Kluyveromyces lactis: one gene and its partners. The protein of the gene in region 1 purifies or fractionates together with the protein of each later gene. This does not show direct contact. Links are inferred from orthologs where the notes say so. Each region holds a gene or a part of one and is shown in the gene's direction. Other genes may lie near its edges. The genes, in order: PRP43, ASC1, SRP40 and CBF5.

Region 1 (6,510 bases):
GAGTGAAAGGACTCAAGATTATACCCAATTCACCCCTCTAACGCCTCTGTTGGAAAATTTCGATAAGGATGGTATTTTCAGACAGCATCCGATAGGTAGGATAGATGATGAATCAGCGATTGTCTCGCAGAAGTTGTTACAGGACGGTCCGGTATCGTCTGGTCCGATTACAGTAGATTATGGGGAATTTTCAGCAGTCAGACAAATCGTTACGAGATTACCTCCGTATGGAGAGTTCCAAATTGTCACTACATATGAACTATCTCCTTTGGCGGGCATTGTAAAAGAGATCGAAGATGTCAATAAGCAAATATTATTCTATTTTTCCGCGAACAATTTACTTCGGGACATTTATCTTAGATCTTTGATGAGCAAAGATGGGTACCTATCGATTAGTATATTTTCTGAGTTCCCCAGAATAAAAACTTTATTACCAAAGTTAGCACTGGTTGAACAAAGAACTAAAGTTCTAAAGAATGCCTTTAGGTTATCAGAACCTGACATTTTTGAGATTTCTGGGAGCAGAGTGAGATTAAGAGATTCTTGGCAAAGGTGGATAGTGAAATGATACTTAAAGTCTTTTGCACTTGGCTATTCTCGGATCTTTTTTATGTTCTATTTTTGTAATTTTTCAAATTTTTGATATATCTTGTCATTACTTACATTAAAATTTCTAAGTTGTTAGAAGTACTTGAAAAGAACAGCGGATGGTGTTTAGATCTATTTACACTCCTGTATTCATAAAGCAAAATATTCTTTAAACAGTTTAGAACATGAGACTTTTGCTCTCATCTTTGAGCATAATAGAAATACTCCACTGAACTTTCTATGCAAGGAATAGGTTTCCTCTGGGGGTGGGCATAATCTTTCATTTAACATAACAGTAATCTTTGATCTGACTCTGTCACTGACAGTTTGATTAGCAAAATCAAAGGATTTCTCTGGATCACCTGAAAATGGTTCACCAAGAGTCATGACAGATTCAACATGCGCATCCACCATAGCGGTTGATTCTAGGCCTGTCAAATAGCCTAGCTCCACTGATGTTTCCGCCACACCGATACGATCACCTTTTGTAGCTTGAGTTAATAACTTACGGTAGTTATGGATAAAGGGTTCGGGGAAACCTCTACTAGCACCGAAATCTAAAAGTTCAATTTTTTTGGTTTTGGAGTTGTATAGAAAATTGGCCCAGTTAGGATCCGTTTGCATGTATTTGAATTGAGCAATCTCCTGTAGACACAATCTCATTATGTTATCACAAATATAATCCCTGACTTCTTGTGGTGTGTTAACCGGAAGCTTCGTGATTTCAGTACCTTTCATTCTCTGCATAGTTATGATGTTCTCTGTCGTCAGTTCATCATATACAAACGGTACCTCGAAAACAGGGTCGTCTTTCAACAAACTAGCAAAATGCTTCAATGCATTAGCCTCTCTATGATAATCACATTCCCACTTTAATTCTTTACGAGCATTATCAATGGTTTTATCCAAAAACAATCCCTTTGGTAATAAACTGGAAGCAGTTAATAACATAAGAAGATTGTTTAGGTCGCTGTCAATAGAGTCTTTGACTCCTGGATATTGTATCTTCACGACACATTCCTCGCCGTTGTGCAAAACAGCATTATGAACTTGACCAATGCTTGCTGCAGCGATAGGAGTCCTGTCGAAACTCTTGAATTTCTTTTCCCAATCAGAACTCAATTCTCTAGCCAGTAGCCTGTCCAACTGTCTTGGAGGCATATAATTAGCACTGTTCTGAACTCTTGAAAGTATCGTGTATAATTGCGGAGGTAAAACCTTCTCATCCTGGAATGACATTAGTTGGCCCAACTTTAATGCTGCTCCTCTCATTTGAGAGAATTTATTTGCAATCCTTTCAACATTAGAATCTGATAACAGTAAATCTTTAAAACTTGATGATTGGCCACGACTCAGCTGAGTGATACTTTGAGATGCAGCAGAAATACCCACACTAGCAGCTAGGTGGCCGTAATGAAAAAGCCGAGAGATACGTGATGAAGGGACTTCTGAACTTTCCAGTTTATTAGCCTTTTGTTTGTTCACCAATTTATCCTCTGGAATAGCGTCAGCTGCTTTATTAGAACACCTGTGATAAGATGAAAAATGTCTCACATTTTTTTTGTTCTTGACTGAGCACTTGCTAAGGTGTGCTTTTTTAGAAGAGTGCCCTTTCGTAGATTTTCTGACGGATTCAGAAAGTTTACGGGCATGTTCCCAGTCCTTGTCGTAAAACCATTGAAATTTAGACAGTACCGGTCTTGTCAAAGTGGAAGTTTTTAGCCAAATATCAAGAGACTGTCTACCAATCGAGGCAGAATTTTTTACCACGTTGCAGAAGGACTCTGATAAACAGATAGCTTGATATAGCCCTTTTCTCGACATTGAATACAGCGATACTTCTCGATATCAATTAATTCAGCCGAAGAACTATCAGATATCACAAGATCAAAAATAAAGGGTGAAAGTATTTGATCTATCCAATGATACTACGAGTCAATGGTCAAATTCATGAATATACAGCGTAATAAGAATGGATTAAGACTCTGTCTTTACTTTATTACCTTTCCTTATTTCATGAGAGAGTCGAATCGTACAGATATCTTGCAGAATAATCCATCTTTTGAATTTCAAATAGATGCTTGTTTGCTTGCTTGCTCTTGCCATTCTAACCTTTGTTATCCGGGTAATGATGGAATTGCGATTTTGACATATGGACGTGTAGTTTTTTCTTTTTTAAAAATTTTAATGCAAATTGTAACATTAAGCTCATCTCATCTCATCTCATCTAGTGTAGTTCAATACTAGAGATAGTAGGTTAAGTGGTTATAAAATCCCCTGAATATTAGATACTACTGCTGAGTTTGGTTTACTCCGTTAGAGATTATTCGCATTACCAGTTGCAAAACATCAAACGTTGAGTAATTGACGATGGGCAAAAGAAGGTTTTCAAACGAGCATGTGTCTGCTGTTGAGACTTCTATTCCGGAGCATGCAGCTGAAATCGCAGAAAAATTAACCAAAGATCACCCTCCACCAGCAGCAGAGCCTTTAATTCATCATGATTCTGGTGAGTTCAGCGGGATGCAACGCCATCACACTACTGCGGCCGATGCCGAAAGATTGGAAAATGGATCAGTTAATCCATTCACTGGTGGCTCACTATCAGAGAAATATTTCGGTATTCTAAAGGTAAGAAGAGACTTGCCAGTGCACGCTCAAAGAGATGAATTCTTGAAGATCTATCAAGAAAACCAGATCATGGTTTTTGTTGGTGAAACGGGTTCCGGTAAGACCACTCAAATTCCTCAATTTGTGCTGTTCGATGAAATGCCACATTTACAAAATACTCAAGTTGCTTGTACGCAGCCTCGTAGGGTTGCTGCCATGTCTGTGGCACAGAGAGTTGCTGAAGAAATGGACGTCAAACTAGGCGAAGAAGTTGGTTATTCCATTAGATTCGAAAATAAGACCTCTAATAAAACTATCTTGAAATATATGACTGATGGTATGTTGTTAAGAGAAGCCATGGAAGACCATGACTTGAAACGTTACTCTTGTATCATTTTAGATGAAGCACACGAACGTACTTTGGCAACAGATATCTTGATGGGTCTTTTGAAACAGGTTATTGATCGTAGACCTGATTTGAAGATTATTATCATGTCTGCTACTTTAGATGCTGAGAAATTCCAAAGATACTTTAATAAGGCGCCACTTTTAGCTGTCCCTGGTAGGACACATCCAGTGGAGATCTACTATACACCAGAATTCCAAAGAGATTATTTGGATAGTGCTATAAGAACTGTTTTACAGATCCATGCTACGGAGGAGAAGGGTGACATTTTGTTATTCTTAACCGGTGAAGATGAGATTGAAGATGCTGTAAGGAAAATATCATTAGAAGGGGATCAGTTAATTAGAGAGCAAGGTTGTGGTCCTATCTCTGTATATCCATTATACGGTTCTTTGCCTCCACATCAACAACAGCGCATTTTTGAACCTGCTCCTGAATCCCATAATGGAAGACCTGGTAGAAAAGTCATTGTATCTACTAATATTGCAGAAACCTCTTTGACTATTGACGGTATTGTGTATGTTGTTGATCCTGGTTTCTCTAAGCAAAAAGTTTACAACCCAAGAATTAGAGTTGAATCCCTTTTGGTCTCTCCAATTTCAAAGGCATCAGCTCAACAAAGAGCTGGTAGAGCTGGTCGTACCAGACCTGGTAAGTGTTTCAGACTATATACTGAAGAAGCTTTCAAAAAGGAACTTATCGAGCAATCATATCCTGAAATTCTCCGTAGTAATCTTTCTTCGACAGTCTTAGAACTAAAGAAACTAGGCATTGACGATTTGGTGCATTTCGATTTCATGGACCCTCCTGCCCCAGAAACTATGATGAGAGCCTTAGAAGAATTAAACTTTTTGGCATGTTTAGATGACGATGGTAATTTAACACCTTTGGGTAGATTGGCTTCTCAATTCCCTCTTGATCCAATGCTTGCGGTAATGTTGATTGGATCCCCCGAATTTTCTTGTTCCGAAGAGATGCTAACGATTGTCGCCATGTTATCCGTACCTAGTGTTTTCATTCGTCCTTCGAAAGATAAGAAAAGATCAGATGACGCAAAGAACATATTTGCACATCCTGATGGCGACCACCTAACATTATTGAATGTCTACCATGCATTCAAGTCAGACGAAGCTTATGAGTACGGGATCAACAAGTGGTGCCGCGACAACTTTTTAAATTATAGATCTCTATCTGCTGCTGACAACATCCGCAACCAATTGGAAAGGTTGATGGTTCGTTACAATCTCGAGTTGAACACTACAGATTATGACTCCCCTAGATATTTCGATAACATTAGAAAAGCGTTAGCTGCAGGCTTCTTTATGCAGGTCGCAAAAAAACGATCTGGCGGAAAAGGTTATATCACAGTCAAAGATAACCAAGATGTTTTGATACATCCTTCAACTGTTTTGGGCCATGATGCCGAATGGGTTGTATACAATGAATTCGTTCTAACCTCCAAAAACTACATTAGAACTGTAACATCAGTTAGACCTGAATGGTTAATAGAATTAGCACCAGCTTATTATGACCTCGATCACTTCCAAAAAGGTGACATTAAACTATCGTTAGAAAGGGTAAAGCAAAAGCTCGATAAAATGGTGGAGCTACAACAAGAAAAAAAAAAAAGTGCGAAATCTAAAAAGTCTAAGAAATAACCAAGCATATAGATGTGTAACTTATATAATAAGATTAACCTTAGAATCAGCATGATAAGTCTTATTGTAGAAGTATTGTGCGGTATTATTAGCACGCGACTCAAAGTCTACGTTTTTTTTGCTGCATTTTATTGAAATTCGGTATGGTGTACGTTTTATATTCAACCCATAAGAACTTCGCTTATGATATTTCAGTGTAAAAAATATAAAATCAAATCTCTAGGAGTGGTTTCATTGCAATGGCGCATATAGTATCTGTGTTGCATATTTTCTTTTGTATCTAACGATGCTAGCAACACATAAAGTATTATGTTTAATAGAAGACGTTGCTAAATGATTAAGAACGACGTGGTTAGGAATTGGCAACGCACCTGAATTATTTTCACTACCTGGTTCAGCATTTTTGTTGTAATTATTGAGAATAACATTCTCCAACTGAGGTGGAAGTTGTGGAGGAGTTAACCATGACATATTTTGTTGATTGTTCTGTTGCTGGTCTAATGTGAGATAATACTGTTCCATCACCGAAGGATCTGTAAAGACAGCAGGGATATCCTGAGTATACTCATAATCGGTCTTTAGCTGTTGTTCCTCTTTGAAACGGGTGTATCCGTTTCCCATATCATCAGGGTCTTCTTCAATATGCAAAGCAAGCTGGGATCTGGCACTTAATTTGCCATCTTTACTTTGAGATGGTTGCCTTCTAACCTGTGACTGGATGGTTTGATCGCGAATTTTCTGAGATTGAGAAACATTATCTGAGAGTTGTTGATTTTGCATATTTTGCTTTTGCTGTGTCTGTTGTTGGGCATCCAGTTCATAATTCATCATTTGCATCGACTCAGGTGGAACAATTTCAAGATAATTAACAAAATTACCCATCTGATCAGTTGCAGTGGGAAGAAAGTCGCTGAACCGGAGTTCATTATCAACGATGAATCTAAATCTGTGAGTACCGGGAGGTAATTGTAACTTGATATGGAAAACTCCAGGTTTGTCAGTAACAGGTACAAGGCCAATCATCTTACGCCAGCCAGTGAAGGAACCTGTTACATAGACCTTGGAACCGCCTTGTTGCCACGTTATCTCAACAGGAACCATGGTAGGTCTACGTTCAGGTACCGGTTGCGTCTGCTGATTAATAGCAGGGCCTGGATGTTGTACGTTCCCATCGTAATGATTTCCTGAAACTTTGTTGGCATGTTGTTCTTGAGAGTTGTTAGTGTATGCTGAATTTTGATGTCTTCC
Region 2 (5,408 bases), on another chromosome or scaffold:
TTTTCTGTGAAATGTTTACTTTCCCCATATCACCAGTGATATCGAAAAGATCATTTAGTTCGTCCAGGACGCCTGTACTTCTCGTGGCAGAGCTATCACCCATGTCAAGTAGTACATCATCGTTCATGTTTTTCAGGATCTCGTTCGTGGCCATTCCCTTTAATTCATCAATATCCTTATCCTTAATGATGTGAACTTCGTTGGGACGGCGTTGCATCTGCGAGATTGGTTTGAAATACACAGAGGATAGAGTGGAGAGCTCTTGAAGTAGACTTTGTAATGTTTCCTTGGAGAAGTGGTCCAAGGTAGAATGCAATTTAGGAATTTCATGCTTGTCAAATAATTGGTTGATGATTTGATCACCGTTGTCGATCGATAGACACCGCCAGTACATCATGGCCATGTCTCTAACGTCCAAATCGTGGACGTCTGTCGTACAAAGTTCCAAGATCTTCTGTAAGAAAGCACTTGAGACTGCATTATGGCATTTCACTACACCCATTAGAAGGGACATTTGAGTTAGGGATCCTAATTCATCGAAAACTTCTACCAGTGGTTCAAGCTTAGTTTCCAAATTTTCGTTTGTATAGTTGGTGATAAACCAGATGTAGTTACAACTGCCTAGATCAGATGTAAATATGGTATCGATATCTTGCCATGAGGAAATTATGGCACCCAACTCATTCTTACTTGTTTCCTTGATAAGATTGTTGTCACTGTCATAACGTAACATGTCGCATACGCATCTCATCAATATATCCCTAAACTCTTCTCTCTCCTGGACAATCGAAACGAATTCTTCCATGACCATATTCAAAAACTTGTTATTCGTATCTTCACCTCCGTTCGAGACTTTAATGGCCAATTGTGAGATGGATTGGATAGCTTTGGTCACGAATTCATGATCAAAGTCCTTTGCATATTCTTTTAATTCGTTGAAAAGCATCTGGCAATGTTTCAAATTATCCACGGGCACTAATCTGAGCAAGATGTCTAATTTCTCTATCTTCACGTACAATGGATCATTAAATTTGACATAGAATATTCTTAACTCTTTCCTTAACAAGTTTGGGAAGGCATCCAAAATAATTCTTATATTTCTCAAAGCAACATATTGGATCTCCACTGGGGTCGACATTAGTGAGACCAATGCAGTTGATAACTTGTTGTATATAGAGTCATGGACTGTGTTCAAATTTGGTAGATGTATGAGTATACATTTAACACTGATCAAGACCACTGATGGATTTACGTGTTGCAAATGTGGAACAACTCTATCGATAATTTCTTGAGACTCCATAGGGTCAATTGGTTTGTGTTCGCTCAATGACTCCAAAATAGTGATTCTTGCCCATTCTGTACATTCGTTCAACACGTTCAAAAACCTCTTAACGTTTTGAGATACTAATTTCTTGATATCTATTGAACCAGGGTCCAATTCGTTAATTTCGTGCAGTGCGGCAAGCGCGTTGGCAACAACCATTGGATTATCGTCAGACAAAGCGTCTTGCAAATCGTTCAATACGCCCAATTCACGGCATAGGTCCGGGTTCAATTGGAACAATTTTGCAACGCATAGTACCGCGGTTCTTCTCACGTACGGATTATCATCGACTAGAGTCTTTCTTAGCGGAATCTCAATGTATTCCAAGATCTTATCAACTCTGATCATCGACATGGTACGGATTGCCATAGACCTAATCAATGGGTTCGGATCAGCTGCATCGCTGACGAATGTGTTCACGACAAGGATGCATAACTCCGGATGAGTTTCTGCATAATTAGCCACGTAAAGGTATACCAATTTCTTCTGTTCAATGTCTTGAGTGGCTATATTCTTCAAAACGTCGGGAAACAAAGATGAAACATCTTTGCCGGAAGTCATCTGTTGAATAATCTTACGGATCGCGTCCTTTCGGGTCTGTGGGTACTGAGATACTAATCCATTTCGTAGTTCAAACAATTCACCTTTATTGGAAATCTTAGGAGCCACTCGTATGGCGTCTCTTAAGAACTTCTTGATCTTCTTATCAACACCCATTGTTTCCCTTGGTATTTATGAGAAAGCAGAGCAAGCAATTGGCTGGAGGAAGGAAGACTAATCGCTTGGGGACAGAGTCTTGAATATAAACAGGTTCATCTATTTATATACAGATTCCAGTTAATTTGATTGATGTTTTCTATGAATACTGGAAAGTGAAAGCTTGCTGGCGAGGTCACGTGTGTGCTCACGTGTATCGGAAGATTCCGTAACCCGGACATCATATGATGTCCGGGTTACGGTATTGAGAGATCTCACTTCCTAATAAGAATGGTTACTACCTGATTAGGGAAATTGCTAAGGGAGATTCACACTTCTGCGTAAATTCTTACGCACCGCAGTGTGGTGTACTGATATACCCGACTTTTTATAAAAACACAGTCCTCAGAGTTGCCAGACCAAAAGATACGCGCGACACCCTTACACCATTCAGCGTACCACTCAGCACGCACCACGCACATTGAAAAAAAATTCTTTTCTAGCCAAAGCTCATCACTTGAATATTGAGAAAGTATTAAGAACTTGATATAACTTGCAAGAGTTTACTGCATTAGTATTAAGCTATCAGTTCTTGTTGATTGAAATTGTTATCTATTCTCTTCTTTTGATTCATCAGAACAACACATCTCAAGGAATTAACTGAAAAGAAATGTCTTCCAGCAATATTATGCTTGTTTTGAGAGGTACCCTAGAAGGTCACAACGGCTGGGTCACCTCTTTGTCTACCTCTGCTGCTCAACCAAACTTGTTGGTTTCTGGTTCCAGAGATAAGACTTTGATCTCCTGGAGATTGACCGAAAACGAACAACAATTCGGTGTCCCAGTTAGATCTTACAAGGGTCACTCTCACATCGTTCAAGATGTTGTTGTCTCTGCTGACGGTAACTACGCCGTTTCTGCTTCTTGGGATAAGACCTTGAGATTGTGGAACTTGGCTACTGGTAACTCTGAAGCTAGATTTGTTGGTCACACCGGTGATGTTTTGTCCGTTGCCATTGATGCTAACTCTTCTAAGATTATCTCTGCTTCCAGAGATAAGACCATCAGAGTTTGGAACACTGTCGGTGACTGTGCCTACGTCTTGTTGGGTCACACCGACTGGGTTACCAAGGTCAGAGTTGCTCCAAAGAACTTGGAAGACGGTGAAGTCGATGACGGTAGAATCACTTTCGTTTCTGCTGGTATGGACAAGATCGTTAGAGTATGTGCCAGACTTTTTTCTTTTATTGCATTGCATTGCATTGCCTATCTCCCGATTAGATTGATTTACCTTGGAATTCAGGTCCTCAGTTGTTTCCCCGTAATATATTCTCAAAATACATGGCTCAATTCACTATACTATGACAAATGATGTTTCTTATATTTGCTACTTCAGACGTAACCTTACATGGTTTCGAATGAGACATACTAATTATCACCAAGATCTCTGATGTCTTTTTAATTAGTGAATTAAAATTTTGAATTGAGTTTTGTGCATTTGAATATCATGGAGCGAGCAATTTGGGCCTGTATTCCCAGATATATCTCATGGCTTTGAACCAAATATCATTTTTACTAACAATATTTTGGGAATTATCTTCCATTCCCCTTATTAACTACAGTCCTGGTCTTTGAACGAAGACTCTTACAGAATCGAAGCTGATTTCATCGGTCACAACAACTACATCAACGTTGTTCAACCATCCCCAGATGGATCTCTAGCTGCTTCTGCTGGTAAGGACGGTCAAATCTACGTCTGGAACTTGAAGCACAAGAGCGCCTTCATGAACTTCGACGCTAAGGACGAAGTCTTTGCTTTGGCCTTCTCTCCATCCAGATTCTGGTTGACCGCTGCTACTGCTTCTGGTATCAAGATCTACGACTTGGAAAACGAAGTCTTGATCGACGAATTGAAGCCAGAATTTGCTGGTTACACCAAGGCTCAAGACCCACACGCCGTTTCTTTGGCTTGGTCTGCTGATGGTCAAACTTTGTTCGCCGGTTACACCGACAACGTCATCAGAGTTTGGCAAGTCATGACCGCCAACTAAGTTGTAGCAATTTAAAATCTCTTAATTTTGCTTTTATTCCCTACAATTTATTCTTGGTCGTCGTCATTACCAATAAATCATAACATAAATCCCTTATGTATATATTAGTTATACAAAAACTTACATTATAATATTAGATCTCCCCTCGGTTAATCTGTCTTATAAGAGTTCCGATATTGTTATCTTAGCTTATTATTATGTTTTCAATGGTTTCTACCTATACATGCATAATATGCATTTCGGTTAGGCAAAACCGTGGCACAGGGCTATTCCAAGGGCAACCCGGTACCTTAGCTTCCCTTTCTTCATATCACCCTTTCTTTCTCTCTCTTCCTGGCGAAAACGCAGAAACTCGTACTCTATCTATAATGGCAATTCTATTTACTTTTTGAACTTTTACCGTTCACTTTAAACCTCTTTGCAAAATATTCCGTTTCAATTAAAATTTTTCATATTAACAAACTTAAACTTACATTAGCTTAGGTTGGACTGGACTTGGTTCTTCTACTGCTCATATTGTTTTTGTGTATTCAGATTATATTTGCTACTGTAAATTGTAAATTGTAAATTAAACCATTTGTTTCTTTGTTCGTTTTAAAAGGTACAAGAATATCACTCTAATATTTACAGGACAGATCATATCCAAAAATTATGTCATCTTCTGCTGATAATTCCAACAACAGTAGCAGCAGGTTCCCTGCTGCTGTTGACTCTATCAATAACAACAGTAATAGTATTAACGATGCTAGTCAATTCCACAACAGTTATAATGAAGTAAATGAAATTAATAATGATACTAATAGCCAAGTGAACAACGGTAACAATATTACATTCCACGTCCTTGTTTCTTTGAAAGAAGCAGCAAAGATCATTGGCCCTCAGGGGAATACCATTGAGACGATAAGGAGGGAAAACGATATCAAAATCGGTATATCACCTCGTGAAAAATCATGTTCTGATAGGTTATTGAATGTTAGTGGTCCCCCAAGACAAGTGGCCAATTCGTTGGGTCAAGTATTACGTGTGCTAACTACGGATTACGAGCCTGAGGAACACGTTTTCAAGCATCTAAGATTCATGTTACCTCCAGCATCGAAGGAAGAGATTGAGGATCCAGAGAAATGGAAACAAATTGGTAATTTGAGATTAATCTGTACCAACCCACAGATTTCGTCAGTCATTGGCCAACAAGGTGCCAAGATTAAGAAATTGATTGAAACGCATACTGTTAAACTCGTTGCCTCGAAACATTTCTTGCCCGATTCTAAGGATAGAGTATTGGAGATTCAAGGGTTCCCTACCTCGGTTGCCAACTGTATCAACGAAATCGCAGAACT
Region 3 (5,399 bases), on another chromosome or scaffold:
ACCCTTCATCGTTACGTCTCTTAGCTCTTAAAATTCTACCCAATCTTTGTGCTTCTTGACGTCTAGACCCGTAATGAGACGAAATTTGGATCAAACAAGTCGCCTCTGGCAAATCAATCGAAGTATCTCCAACCTTTGATAAGAAAATGGTATTGATTTGGTCATTATATTGAAAATTCTGCAAAATATTCATACGCTCTTGTTGTGGCGTGGAACCGTAAATGAAAGGCTTACCTAGCTTCAAAGCATATTCTTGAAGAGCGTAGACGTTATCTGAAAAGACGATAATTTTATCACCTCTCTTTTCATGATATTGAATCAAAAATTGACACGCCTGGAACTTGGTTGGATTCATAATATATAGTAGCATTCTTTTTCTCGCATTCTCTCTTAGATATTCTTGGTAAAACTCTGCAGTCATTGGACACCAAACTTCCGCACACTGCACATTAGCAATGTGACCTTTCTGTGAAAGTTCCATCCAATTAGCTTCGTAAAGTTTTGGACCAATCAAGAAATTCAAATCACTAATCTTGTCATCTTCACGCACCAAAGTTGCAGTTAAACCTAATTTTGCATGTGCGGCAATAGTGGACACAACACGTCTAAACATGGCTGCAGGTACGACATGTACTTCATCCAAAATAATGAAACCCCATTCTCTACCCGTTAAGAAATCCATAACCTTTTGAGAATCGTACGATCTATTTCTAGTGTTAGCAACCATGGAATAAGTCGAGACCACCAGACCAGATTCAGTTTGGAACATTTCTTTGTTATCTGATGTGAAGACGGCAACATTTTCAGGCTGGAGCGTACACCACTGAAGGAATTGTTGTCTCCATTGCATGACTGACACTGACGAAGTACAAAGCACGATCACAGACTTTTTGATAGTACATGCCGCTGTGATACCGACCAAAGTCTTACCAGCACCGCATGGTAACACAATAATACCACTTCTTGCACGACCGTTACCGAACATTTTGCTCAAGGATTTTTCCTGATATGGTCTGATTTGAGTTGATGGTTTCAAATCGATATCTAAATCTGGATTTCTTCGATCGTTCCTGAAATCATATTCTTCCAACACCGGATAGTCAAGTTCTTGACATCTTTTCTTCACAATTTCGACAGATGCATTGTCAATTTCGAAAGCATGAACCGCATCTATATCATCGTCTTCTTCTTCAAGTTCCTTATTGGCCCCCACGACAGCTGAAAAGACAGCTTCCACATCGTTAGGATCCACTCCCTCTGCATCTACCATCTTATTCGCCATGGTTTTCTTAACCGCAGCATCCACTGCAGCATCGGTATCGATTCTTAGATTACCAATGATTTGATCGTTTAACAACATTTGCAAGATATCAGCTTGAGAAGTTTCCACGAAATATCTATTATGCTTAATGACCAATTTCACCTTACCGTATGATACAGTTGCACTCTTAATGAAGTTGATAATCGAAGGTGCAACAGGAACCTTGGACAATCTGTCCAATACTGCTATGATATCTTCAGTTTCCAAACCAACCGAAACCGCAGCATACAAAGAGTAAGCCGTAATTCTGTACTCATGAATATGAGATGGTCTAGAAACGGGTTCTGCGATCGTCACAAGAAAATCCTGTGCTTGTTCTGCCAATGGAGAGAATGATTCTAAGATCACACGTCCATCGTTAGGCGATATCCATAAAGGCCGCGAGGCATGATCCGGCTTCAATTTTAAGTAGCTGAAATCGTTAGTCTTGAACATTCCTGAAACAACGTCAGGCTCAAAATCAGGGGGAATATCGTCCAAATGTGCATGAAGGATATCATCCTTTGCTGCTAGATTATGGTTCATTCCACTACCAGCAGTTGCAGCAGCAGCAGATCTAGAAGAAGAAGAACTTTTCTTCGATTTCCGACTCAAAAGAGGATTCACTTGAGGAGCAGGAGCGTTCGCCTGCATTAGAGATTCCTTTAACTCAGCTTCCTCTTCTTCATCTAAGACATCATCGTCGATATCTGGGGCAATATCCCCGTATTCTTCATCGTCTGTAACCAAAGAGTCATCTGAAAAAACCGTGTCCTGCACTAATTTCTCCTTTCCACCTCTACTTCTTGTGTGATATGAACGCTTCACTACCTCATCTTCCATAATGACACAATTAGTGTACAGATAGACTCCGGGGATAGACCTTAATTCCCTTGTCCGTCCTTGGACTTTGATTCTTAAACATCTAATTAAAGTTAAAGTTCTCTTAAAATCATCTTTCAGATTAATAATGTTGAGGCAAAAATGATTACCCGGACAAACAATATAACCAGAATGAGCCAAAAACCCAATATAAGTTAGAGTTGGATGACCAACTAATAACCATTGCAACCACTAGGTAGTTCCACGATTAACAATACAACAACGAGGTTGCCGAATAGACGAAAAGGCCGGTTTTGCTAGTTGTTTTTACAGTTTTAGTAGTTGTAAGACTGAAACAACCCATACACCACACCTCAGGACATCGTCACATAGTACGGCAAAAGAAACGTATTGAAAAAAAATTCGAGATTAATAGCGTTATCCAAACGAGATGAGCTTGCGATGAGGTAGGTTCAGATCTTATCCAAGAGCGATTACGATAGGATCACCAGTGGTTTGGGTGAGGAAATAGTCTAATTTTTACAGATGAGTGTTAAGAAGCAAAGTTCCAAGTCTTCAGTGCCAAAATTGACGAAGAAAGATGACAAAAAGGTAAAATCATCGTCAAGTGGTTCAGAGTCTAGTTCCAATTCCAGCGACAGCTCGAGTTCAGGTTCAGGTTCAGGTTCAGGTTCAGGTTCAGATTCGGATTCGGATTCTGGCTCAGACTCTAGTTCAAGCTCTAGCTCAGATTCAGAATCGAACTCTGATAGTAGCTCCAGTTCCAGTTCCAGTTCCAGTTCCAGTTCCAGTTCAGACTCAGACTCCAGTTCAGACTCAGATTCTAGTTCCAGCTCAGACTCTAGTTCCAGCTCAGACTCTGATTCCGACTCAGACTCTAGCTCCAGTGCCAGCTCAGAATCCGATGATGAGGACGAAAAAGACATCAAAATTAAGATAAAAGATGAAAAATCTGAGCCAGTAGCAGTGGAAGTAAAGGTGTCGAAATCGTCAAACTCGGACTCGGAATCTAGTTCTGATTCTAGCTCCGATTCAGACTCTAGCTCCGATTCAAGCTCTGACTCAGACTCCGATTCAAACTCTAGCTCTAGCTCTAGTTCAGATTCAGATTCAGACTCTAGCTCTAGCTCCAGCTCGGACTCTAGTTCGGACTCTAGTTCAGACTCAGACTCAGACTCAGACTCAGACTCAGACTCAGACTCAGATTCGTCCTCAGATTCGTCCTCCTCATCTAGCGACTCCGATAGCAGCGATAGCGAAACTGCAGTAGAAACCGAAACCAACAGCAAACGTCCTCTTGAAACTGAATCTGATTCCACTGAAAATTCCAAAGAATCATCACAAGAACCTTCAACAAAGAAACAAATGATTTCAGCTGGCGTTGATGAAGTATTGCCTGGACAAAGAAAACATTTCTCCAGAGTCGAAAGAGAGAAGATTGCATTTGAACACGAAGTCCTGACAGATAATACATACAAAGGTGCCGCAGGTACCTGGGGTGAAATGGCCAACGATAAGTTGAGCCGTGTGAGAGGAAAAGATTTCACTAAAAATAAAAACAAGATGAAAAGAGGTTCTTACAGAGGTGGGTCTATCACTATGGCTTCTGGCTCCTATAAGTTTACTGATTGATCAATTCCAAACAATTCTCACCTAATGAAAACCATAAACTACCATCATTCACCATCGTCATCTAACTCTTTGGAATAAGAGACAAAACTGTTTCCAATATATACTTACAATCGAAACTATTGTGTATTAAACTGTATAAACCTTCAAAAACCTTTGTCATTGAACAATAAACCGCTTTGTCAATTCCGGACCAATATGGACGGAACCAAATGCCACACTTGACACGCACCCAATTAAGATGCATAGAAGTTGCTGAAAAAGCTGTGAGGAATCTTGGCTCGAACAAACGGATTAGGAAAAAAGTTTTTGAAAAGTCGCGAACGGAAACGATGCACACCATTGGGTACCCACATTTTTGGCCGGTAAGCATTGGTTACCCCTCTCTCGGATAGGCAAGGTTGCAAAGACTATTACTTGTTACTTTTGTAATTGCCATAAATAGAGGCCGGGAAAAGAAGTTTCTTTGATAAGTTCTTCTTCTTCTTTACATATTAATTAAAGTTTCACAAGATTACGTATTTGCAGATAAGGCATTATTAGCAAGCAAGAAAGCAAGCAATAAAATCAGGAATAGAAGCATCATGGGTTTGTTAGACAGTGTTAAGAGCTACGCATCGAAACAAAGTGAAAGCGGTGAAGATTTGGTCAAGAAGGCTGAGGGTTACTTGGGTGAAGAAAGATTGGGTCAAATCAAGACTAAGGTCGGAGAAGAAAACTTCAAGAAGTTCGAAGACCAAGCTAGATCTTTCTTGGGTGAATCTTCCGAAAAGAAGGACTCTACTGAAACCTCTGGTTCAGCCGAAACCTCTACCGAGTCTAAAAAGAACTAAGGCAACTAAGGCTGGAAATAAGCTCTTTACATTGAGTATATAATTTCATAAGTAACATTAACAGATATCCTTTCTGCTATAACTTTAAAACCGCATCTTTCACAACTTTGATTTGGGTTTATTTACGACTCGTGTAGCGACTAATTCTTTGTACAATGGTTCGAACTGATCTCTATTGTTGTGTAATTCATCCACTGAGGCTGATTGGAGTTTTTTCGTAATGTGGCCAAGAAGCATCGGTCCGATTACGTTCGGATTTTCAATGTTCATAAGATGGTCGACATTGTCGATTTGGATGCGTTTGTAATGAGGAATGGTGTCCTGTAACAGCTGATAATTTTCCGGCGGACACCATTTAGATTTACCACCCACGTAGCAAATCACGGGGCTTTCAATCCATTTCAAGTTGTCAATTAACCAGTAAGCATAGGGGTGGAGACACATGTACCCGATGAGGTGTTGCTCTTTTGAAGTCTTCGTGTGGAATTTCGATCCTCGTTTTATCAACTCAGCGTCACAGAAAGTATCTAAAATAGTTTTATCAGAGTTTCTCCAAAAGCTGCGCTTCCTCATGAACTCCTCGTACTCGTCCCTTGTGGCAAAGGTGTCTTGAACCATGTTGCTAATAGCATTGAAATAGTTGTTACTCAAAAGCGTGATCTTCTTTGGACTTGGTGGGTTAAGCATCTTAACAACGGGCTCCATGGTTATGATAAGCTGAAACAAGTTTGGAGATAGTATACCGCAACCAAGAGCTTGATGCCCACCCATAGAATGCCCAATCAGTACGTTGA
Region 4 (5,737 bases), on another chromosome or scaffold:
CGAAGATGTTACAAAACTTGGACCGGTTCCATTCCCAGATCTATCACTTAAGGAGAGGATGACTGCATTATTCGAATTAGTAGGTGCCCCAGAAGAGTTAAAGGAGTGTAACGATCTAAGGCTATCCTTAACGTGCTTGCATCCATGTTTAGCCAAAATATTAGGCTTTTTATGGAGAAACATTAATGTAGGATTGAAAGAGAACAATCACTTAAGAAATATGGTGAAAAGATTAGAAAAGCAGCGCCTCATCGACTCAACTGCACATGAGAGTAAACAGGAAGAATTTTCCAAGTTGACCACTATACATGTTCAGAAGTTGAATGATCTTGAACGTACTTTACAGGAGGTAGAAGTTCAGTATTCTAGACAAAAGGCGCACAATAATTCATCATTAGAACTTGTGAATACCGCAATGGAAGGCATGACCGGTGTTTTAAATCTGTTTTTCAGTCAAGAGTTTTACGAAGAGTGGCAGAAAGATACAAAAGATAGAATTGATTCATTAATGGTATATTTGAATGATATATGCCAATATTTCAGCACAATGCAAACCGAAATGATTCTAAAATTGGAACATAATGCCGAAATGAACGAACTTACAGAGAGATGTGAGTTCTATACCGAGAATTGCTCTTTGTTAGAGAGAGAAAATGAATCTTTGAAGGCAGTTGCCAGTGCATATCGTCAATTACAGGACATTGTCACGGAAAAAAACATTATAATAAGCTCATTGGAGGTAGAAAATCGTTCTTTGAAAAAGCAAGTGGAGACAAAGGCAAAGGATTTGGAGCTTTTGTCAGTGAAGCATGAAAGGGAAATTGCTAAATTAAAAGATCTCTCAAAGGCTGAAAGAGGCAGAATTTTAAAGGTTTGGGACAGAACAGACTACGAGAAGGCATTGGATTCAAAAGAAGAGGAAATCGTTAAGTTAAACCACCGTATCAGTCTATTGGATCTGATAATAGACAACAAGGTGACAGAAATAAAAAATAATGAGAGCAGATACAGGGGACTTGAGACAAAAGTTGCAATTTTAAGTAATGAAAACATAGTTTTAAAGTCAAAACATGACGAGGTTATCAAAAAGAAGAAGGAAGACCTTGCATTTTTCAATGAGAAGTTTCAAAAAAGGTTGTTAGCGATGAAACGTGAAATAGATAAAAATGCTGACATGTATCATAATGAACTACAAAGCTACAGGACTAATTACGAGAAAACTTTAAGTAGTGCCTTAAAAGTTACTCTTAAAGCAGAATCTGCGCTTAGTGCCATATACAGCAATAATGTGGATAGATTCGGGTCTACAAACCGGACTTTGAATTATTTTATGAAGAAAAGAGATATGTTCCAAAATATCAGAGACAATATGGTCTCCAACAAGCCCAAACCAGAATACAAACCTGCGATCACCATTACAAGTGTTAGTGATGGCATAGAAAATAAAGACAATAGAAACGAAGAGTTACACTACATATCAGAACAAAAACAAGGTTTTAATGATTCACTCCGTGAGCTTAAAGTAGCCAATGTGAATAGCAACTGTTCCTCAAGGTCGAAACACAACGCTAAACAAATTATACAAAAGCTCCGAGAGTGGAAGCAAAACCAAAACACATCAGAGCTATCGCCAGACAAAGAAGATTCCATATTTTCAACTGGAATTGAGACAGATTATTCAACTTCAAATATCGCACAGTTATCCACTAGGAACTGGGCTAGCGCTTTGAAGAACAACTATAACGCCAAGTACTTGGAATCTATCTGAATGAAAACAGCGTACTAAGTTAACAGAATTTAACCTAACATAATGAACATATTAGCAGCTAGTTTAGTCCATTAAATAAAAATGCAAACTCACTTCCTAGAAGGCTATAAAAACTACTCTCACTTGGCAATGCTATTTCCAATGTCTGTCATATATACTTAAACGTCAAGGTGAATATAATTCATTACCCGGAAATAATTGCTTTTTGAGATATCTGAAAATTTTCTACCTGAAGAAAAAAATTTGATGAAGACGATGAGATGAGATGAGCTTTAACAAGAAAAGTATAGAGTTCTATTAGAAGTAGATTCATCTTACTGGACTAAAAACTGTCACTTTAGTGTAGATTCTGCTTTACGATATTGTTGCTACTATCCTTTTATTGTTTTCTCTCGATATTTGAAGGAGATAGTGTACTGGATTGTTCGTTAGAAAGCTAATAAGTAAGATAGAGATCGATGTCTGACGAATTTGTTATTAAGCCAGAGAGTGTTTCACCATCTAGTAACACTAGTGAGTGGCCTTTATTGTTGAAGGACTATGACAAACTATTAGTCAGAAGTGGTCATTACACACCAATTCCAGCTGGTGCCTCTCCTTTGAAGAGAGATTTGAAGTCATATATCAGTTCTGGTGTCATCAATTTGGACAAACCTTCAAACCCATCTTCTCACGAAGTTGTTGCTTGGATCAAGCGTATCTTGCGTTGCGAAAAAACAGGTCATTCTGGTACTTTAGATCCTAAAGTCACTGGTTGTTTGATCGTCTGTGTTGACAGAGCTACCAGATTGGTCAAGTCTCAACAAGGTGCTGGTAAAGAGTATGTTTGTATCGTTAGATTGCACGATGCCCTTAAGGACGAGAAGGAATTGGGCAGAGGTTTAGAAAATTTGACTGGTGCTTTGTTCCAAAGACCTCCTTTAATTTCTGCTGTTAAGCGTCAATTACGTGTCCGTACCATTTATGACTCCAACTTGATCGAATTTGACAACAAGAGGAACTTGGGTGTTTTCTGGGCTTCCTGTGAAGCTGGTACTTATATGAGAACTTTATGTGTCCATCTTGGTATGCTTTTAGGTGTCGGTGGCCATATGCAAGAGTTGCGTCGTGTTAGATCCGGTGCTTTGTCCGAAAACGATAACTTGGTCACCCTACATGATGTTATGGATGCACAATGGGTATACGATAACACCAGGGATGAATCCTACCTAAGAAAGATCATTCAACCATTAGAAACTCTATTAGTCGGTTACAAAAGAATTGTTGTCAAAGATTCTGCTGTTAACGCTGTTTGTTACGGTGCCAAGTTGATGATTCCAGGTCTACTTCGTTATGAGGAAGGTATTGAATTATATGACGAAGTTGTATTAATCACCACCAAGGGTGAGGCCATTGCAGTTGCCATTGCTCAAATGTCTACTGTCGATTTAGCTACTTGTGACCACGGAGTTGTTGCCAAGGTTAAGAGATGTATCATGGAAAGAGACCTATATCCAAGAAGATGGGGTCTTGGTCCAATTGCCCAAAAGAAAAAACAAATGAAGGCTGACGGTAAGCTAGACAAATATGGCCGTGCCAACGAAAATACTCCAGAGACCTGGAAGAAGACTTACGTTTCATTGGAGAATGCTGAACCAACTACCGCCCCTGCATCCAAATCAGAAGAAAAACCACTGATCAAAGAAGTAGAAAAGAAGGAAGTCGAACAGAAGGAAGAATCAAAGGAAGAATCAAAGACACCAGAAGAAAAGAAGGACAAGAAGGAAAAGAAGGAGAAGAAGGACAAGAAGGAGAAAAAGGAAAAGAAGGAGAAGAAGGAGAAGAAGAGAAAGGCTGACGATGATGAGTCTTCCGAGAAGAAGAAGAAGAAGTCAAAGAAATAAACGACTACAATCTAAGTCCTTCATATCATCGATCGAAATTTCAAAACTGCATAGAGTTTATCATTTAGGTTATGTACACTGTAGAATATTTTTAATCATTGAAAAACGTATTTCGTCACGACTGTTTTTTGTACCCTGTGTCGATGTTGTATATCATTGTATTCGTATATATAAATTTGTAAATTATTTATGCGCGTGTGAAGACACCATTACGTCTTCAATTGAAGTAATGGCAAAAAGTAATGGTAAATGTATGAGGTAGATAGAAGATTTGATAATAATACTTGGAGTTTTTTTTTTTTTGGCAGACATCAATTGTTCGGAACCAAATAGAAGTCGGGAAACTTGCAGATTGGTATGTCTTTTATTTGCATGATGTCATTTGCTCAATAAAAAGGTAAATGAAGGTTAAAATCTATGCAAATGGTTACATTGTGAACAGAAGTCGAGGTGTCACAATGAAACGTCCCGTTTCTTACTTTACCAGTATTAACAATCATTGAATAATTCTCCTTGTATTCTCTCGCATATTATATTGCGTCCTCAACTTATGTTGCGTGCTTCATTTACCGAAGGATATTTTTTTGAAAATAGTGTACAGTGTGGTCAGAAAGTTAACGCATTAATCGACAGACAATGTAGCCATACGATAAGATTGCTTCTGCTGAAGTGAATGTGAATGGAACATTTGAATTGGAAATAATTAATGGGAGTAAACATTTAAAGAAATGAAAACATATGACATAGAACCATAATGGTGGGAAGATAATATTTCTGGCAGACGTTGAATTGTAAACATGATCACCGTCAGAAGTCTAAATTTGCAATCGTCATGTCATACTTTTATGATTTATTTTCGTTATAAAGACATTCTTCATCTTTCATTCAGAAGTTATCCATAATGGCTTGTCTTTGTTGAGGTGTTAAAGAGGTTGGATAATCGATCTTGAACTTAATAATCAAATCACCTCTTTGGGAAGGATTCTTTGACAGTGTCATACCTTGTCCGGGATATGTTGAGGTTTGAGTAGGTTGAATTGGCTGCGTTCTTGTGATTGGAATTGTTTTACCGTCGATGGTTTGTACTTGCTTGGAGAAACCTAGAAGAGATTCTTTGAAAGAAAGTGGTAAAGTGTAAATCAAATCATTGTCTTGTCTGGTGAAAAATTCGTGTGGTTTTTCCTGTAGAACGAATTGTAATGTTTGTCTACCACCAGTTCTTGGATTATAGTCACCTTCACCTTTGAAAGTAATCTTGGTACCTGCTTTCCAACCTGGTTTCAATTGGATGTCAATTTGGTTCTTTTCGGACACACCACCGGCGCCTTTTCTTGTGATCTTGAATGATTTCTTCTTACCGCTGAATAAATCTTCTAAGGACACAGGTAGATTGACCTGAACAACTTCTTCTTCAGGTCTAGCCTGTTGTCTACTGAATCCACCTGGCATTCCACCTGGCATTCCACCTGGCATACCGCCTGGCATGCCGCCCGAAGAGGAATGGAAACTACTGCCTCCAAACCCGAAATCATCACCAGACCCGCCGCTAGCAGAGAATCCAAATGGAGAAGCACCTCCGGCAGCACCTCCTCCACCAAAGAACTGTGAAAAGATGTTGAAAGCGTCATCTTGTGAGAACGCATGTCCCCCGGCAAACCCACCAGAAGAAAATCCTCCAGGCCCACCAGGCCCACCAGGCCCTCCCGCTCCTCCAAATTGAGGAGCATTACCACGAGCAGCCTCTAGACCATAAGTATCGTAAACTTCCCTCTTCTGAGCATCTGAAAGAATCTCAAAAGCCTCAGAGATTTCTTTAAACTTCTCAGTGTCACCTGTAGGCTTATCTGGATGATACTTCAAGGCAGCCTTTCTGTACCCTTTTTTAATCTCGGCTTCACCTGCACTAGGCGAAATTCCTAGCAAATCATATAATTTAGTGTCCTTAACCATACTCCTACGACGTTTCAAATTTGGTAATTGTCCTTTTGTATATATGTCGAATGATAGTTCAAATTAGCTCTATCTAAACTAGAAGAATTAGAGTAAACTAAAAGAATCAGTTAATGTTTACACTGTTTCGAGATAC

Evidence for each region.
Region 2: the proteins of PRP43 (region 1) and ASC1 purify together in Saccharomyces cerevisiae (affinity purification with mass spectrometry; 5 studies listed by BioGRID). This does not show direct contact. The link is inferred for Kluyveromyces lactis from reciprocal best matches to the Saccharomyces cerevisiae genes PRP43 and ASC1.
Region 3: the proteins of PRP43 (region 1) and SRP40 purify together in Saccharomyces cerevisiae (affinity purification with mass spectrometry; 3 studies listed by BioGRID). This does not show direct contact. The link is inferred for Kluyveromyces lactis from reciprocal best matches to the Saccharomyces cerevisiae genes PRP43 and SRP40.
Region 4: the proteins of PRP43 (region 1) and CBF5 purify together in Saccharomyces cerevisiae (affinity purification with mass spectrometry; 3 studies listed by BioGRID). This does not show direct contact. The link is inferred for Kluyveromyces lactis from reciprocal best matches to the Saccharomyces cerevisiae genes PRP43 and CBF5.

Annotation. Positions count from the first base shown.
Region 1 is NC_006038.1:39,326-45,835, forward strand, and holds PRP43 (DEAH-box ATP-dependent RNA helicase PRP43), read left to right. Parts: upstream 1-2,958; coding exon 2,959-5,262; downstream 5,263-6,510. Other genes in the region: KLLA0_B00517g (La RNA-binding domain-containing protein), read left to right, coding at 1-568; protein kinase COQ8, read right to left, coding at 739-2,412; KLLA0_B00583g (protein kinase subunit beta), read right to left, coding at 5,494-6,510. UniProt on the Saccharomyces cerevisiae protein: Pre-mRNA processing factor involved in disassembly of spliceosomes after the release of mature mRNA.
Region 2 is NC_006041.1:1,084,088-1,089,495, forward strand, and holds ASC1 (40S ribosomal protein RACK1), read left to right. Parts: upstream 1-2,690; coding exon 2,691-3,242; intron 3,243-3,383; exon of another isoform or gene 3,384-3,475; intron 3,476-3,642; coding exon 3,643-4,071; downstream 4,072-5,408. Other genes in the region: APL2 (Apl2p), read right to left, coding at 1-2,041; HEK2 (Hek2p), read left to right, coding at 4,723-5,408. UniProt on the Saccharomyces cerevisiae protein: Component of the ribosome, a large ribonucleoprotein complex responsible for the synthesis of proteins in the cell.
Region 3 is NC_006041.1:1,154,678-1,160,076, forward strand, and holds SRP40 (Srp40p), read left to right. Parts: upstream 1-2,668; coding exon 2,669-3,775; downstream 3,776-5,399. Other genes in the region: TFIIH/NER complex ATPase/helicase subunit SSL2, read right to left, coding at 1-2,143; KLLA0_E13069g (uncharacterized protein), read left to right, coding at 4,357-4,605; LPX1 (triglyceride lipase), read right to left, coding at 4,705-5,399. UniProt on the Saccharomyces cerevisiae protein: Not known; weak suppressor of a mutant of the subunit AC40 of DNA dependent RNA polymerase I and III.
Region 4 is NC_006040.1:407,079-412,815, forward strand, and holds CBF5 (pseudouridine synthase CBF5), read left to right. Parts: upstream 1-2,226; coding exon 2,227-3,651; downstream 3,652-5,737. Other genes in the region: KLLA0_D04774g (uncharacterized protein), read left to right, coding at 1-1,768; type II HSP40 co-chaperone SIS1, read right to left, coding at 4,537-5,601. UniProt on the Saccharomyces cerevisiae protein: Catalytic subunit of H/ACA small nucleolar ribonucleoprotein (H/ACA snoRNP) complex, which catalyzes pseudouridylation of rRNA. This involves the isomerization of uridine such that the ribose is subsequently attached to C5, instead of the normal N1.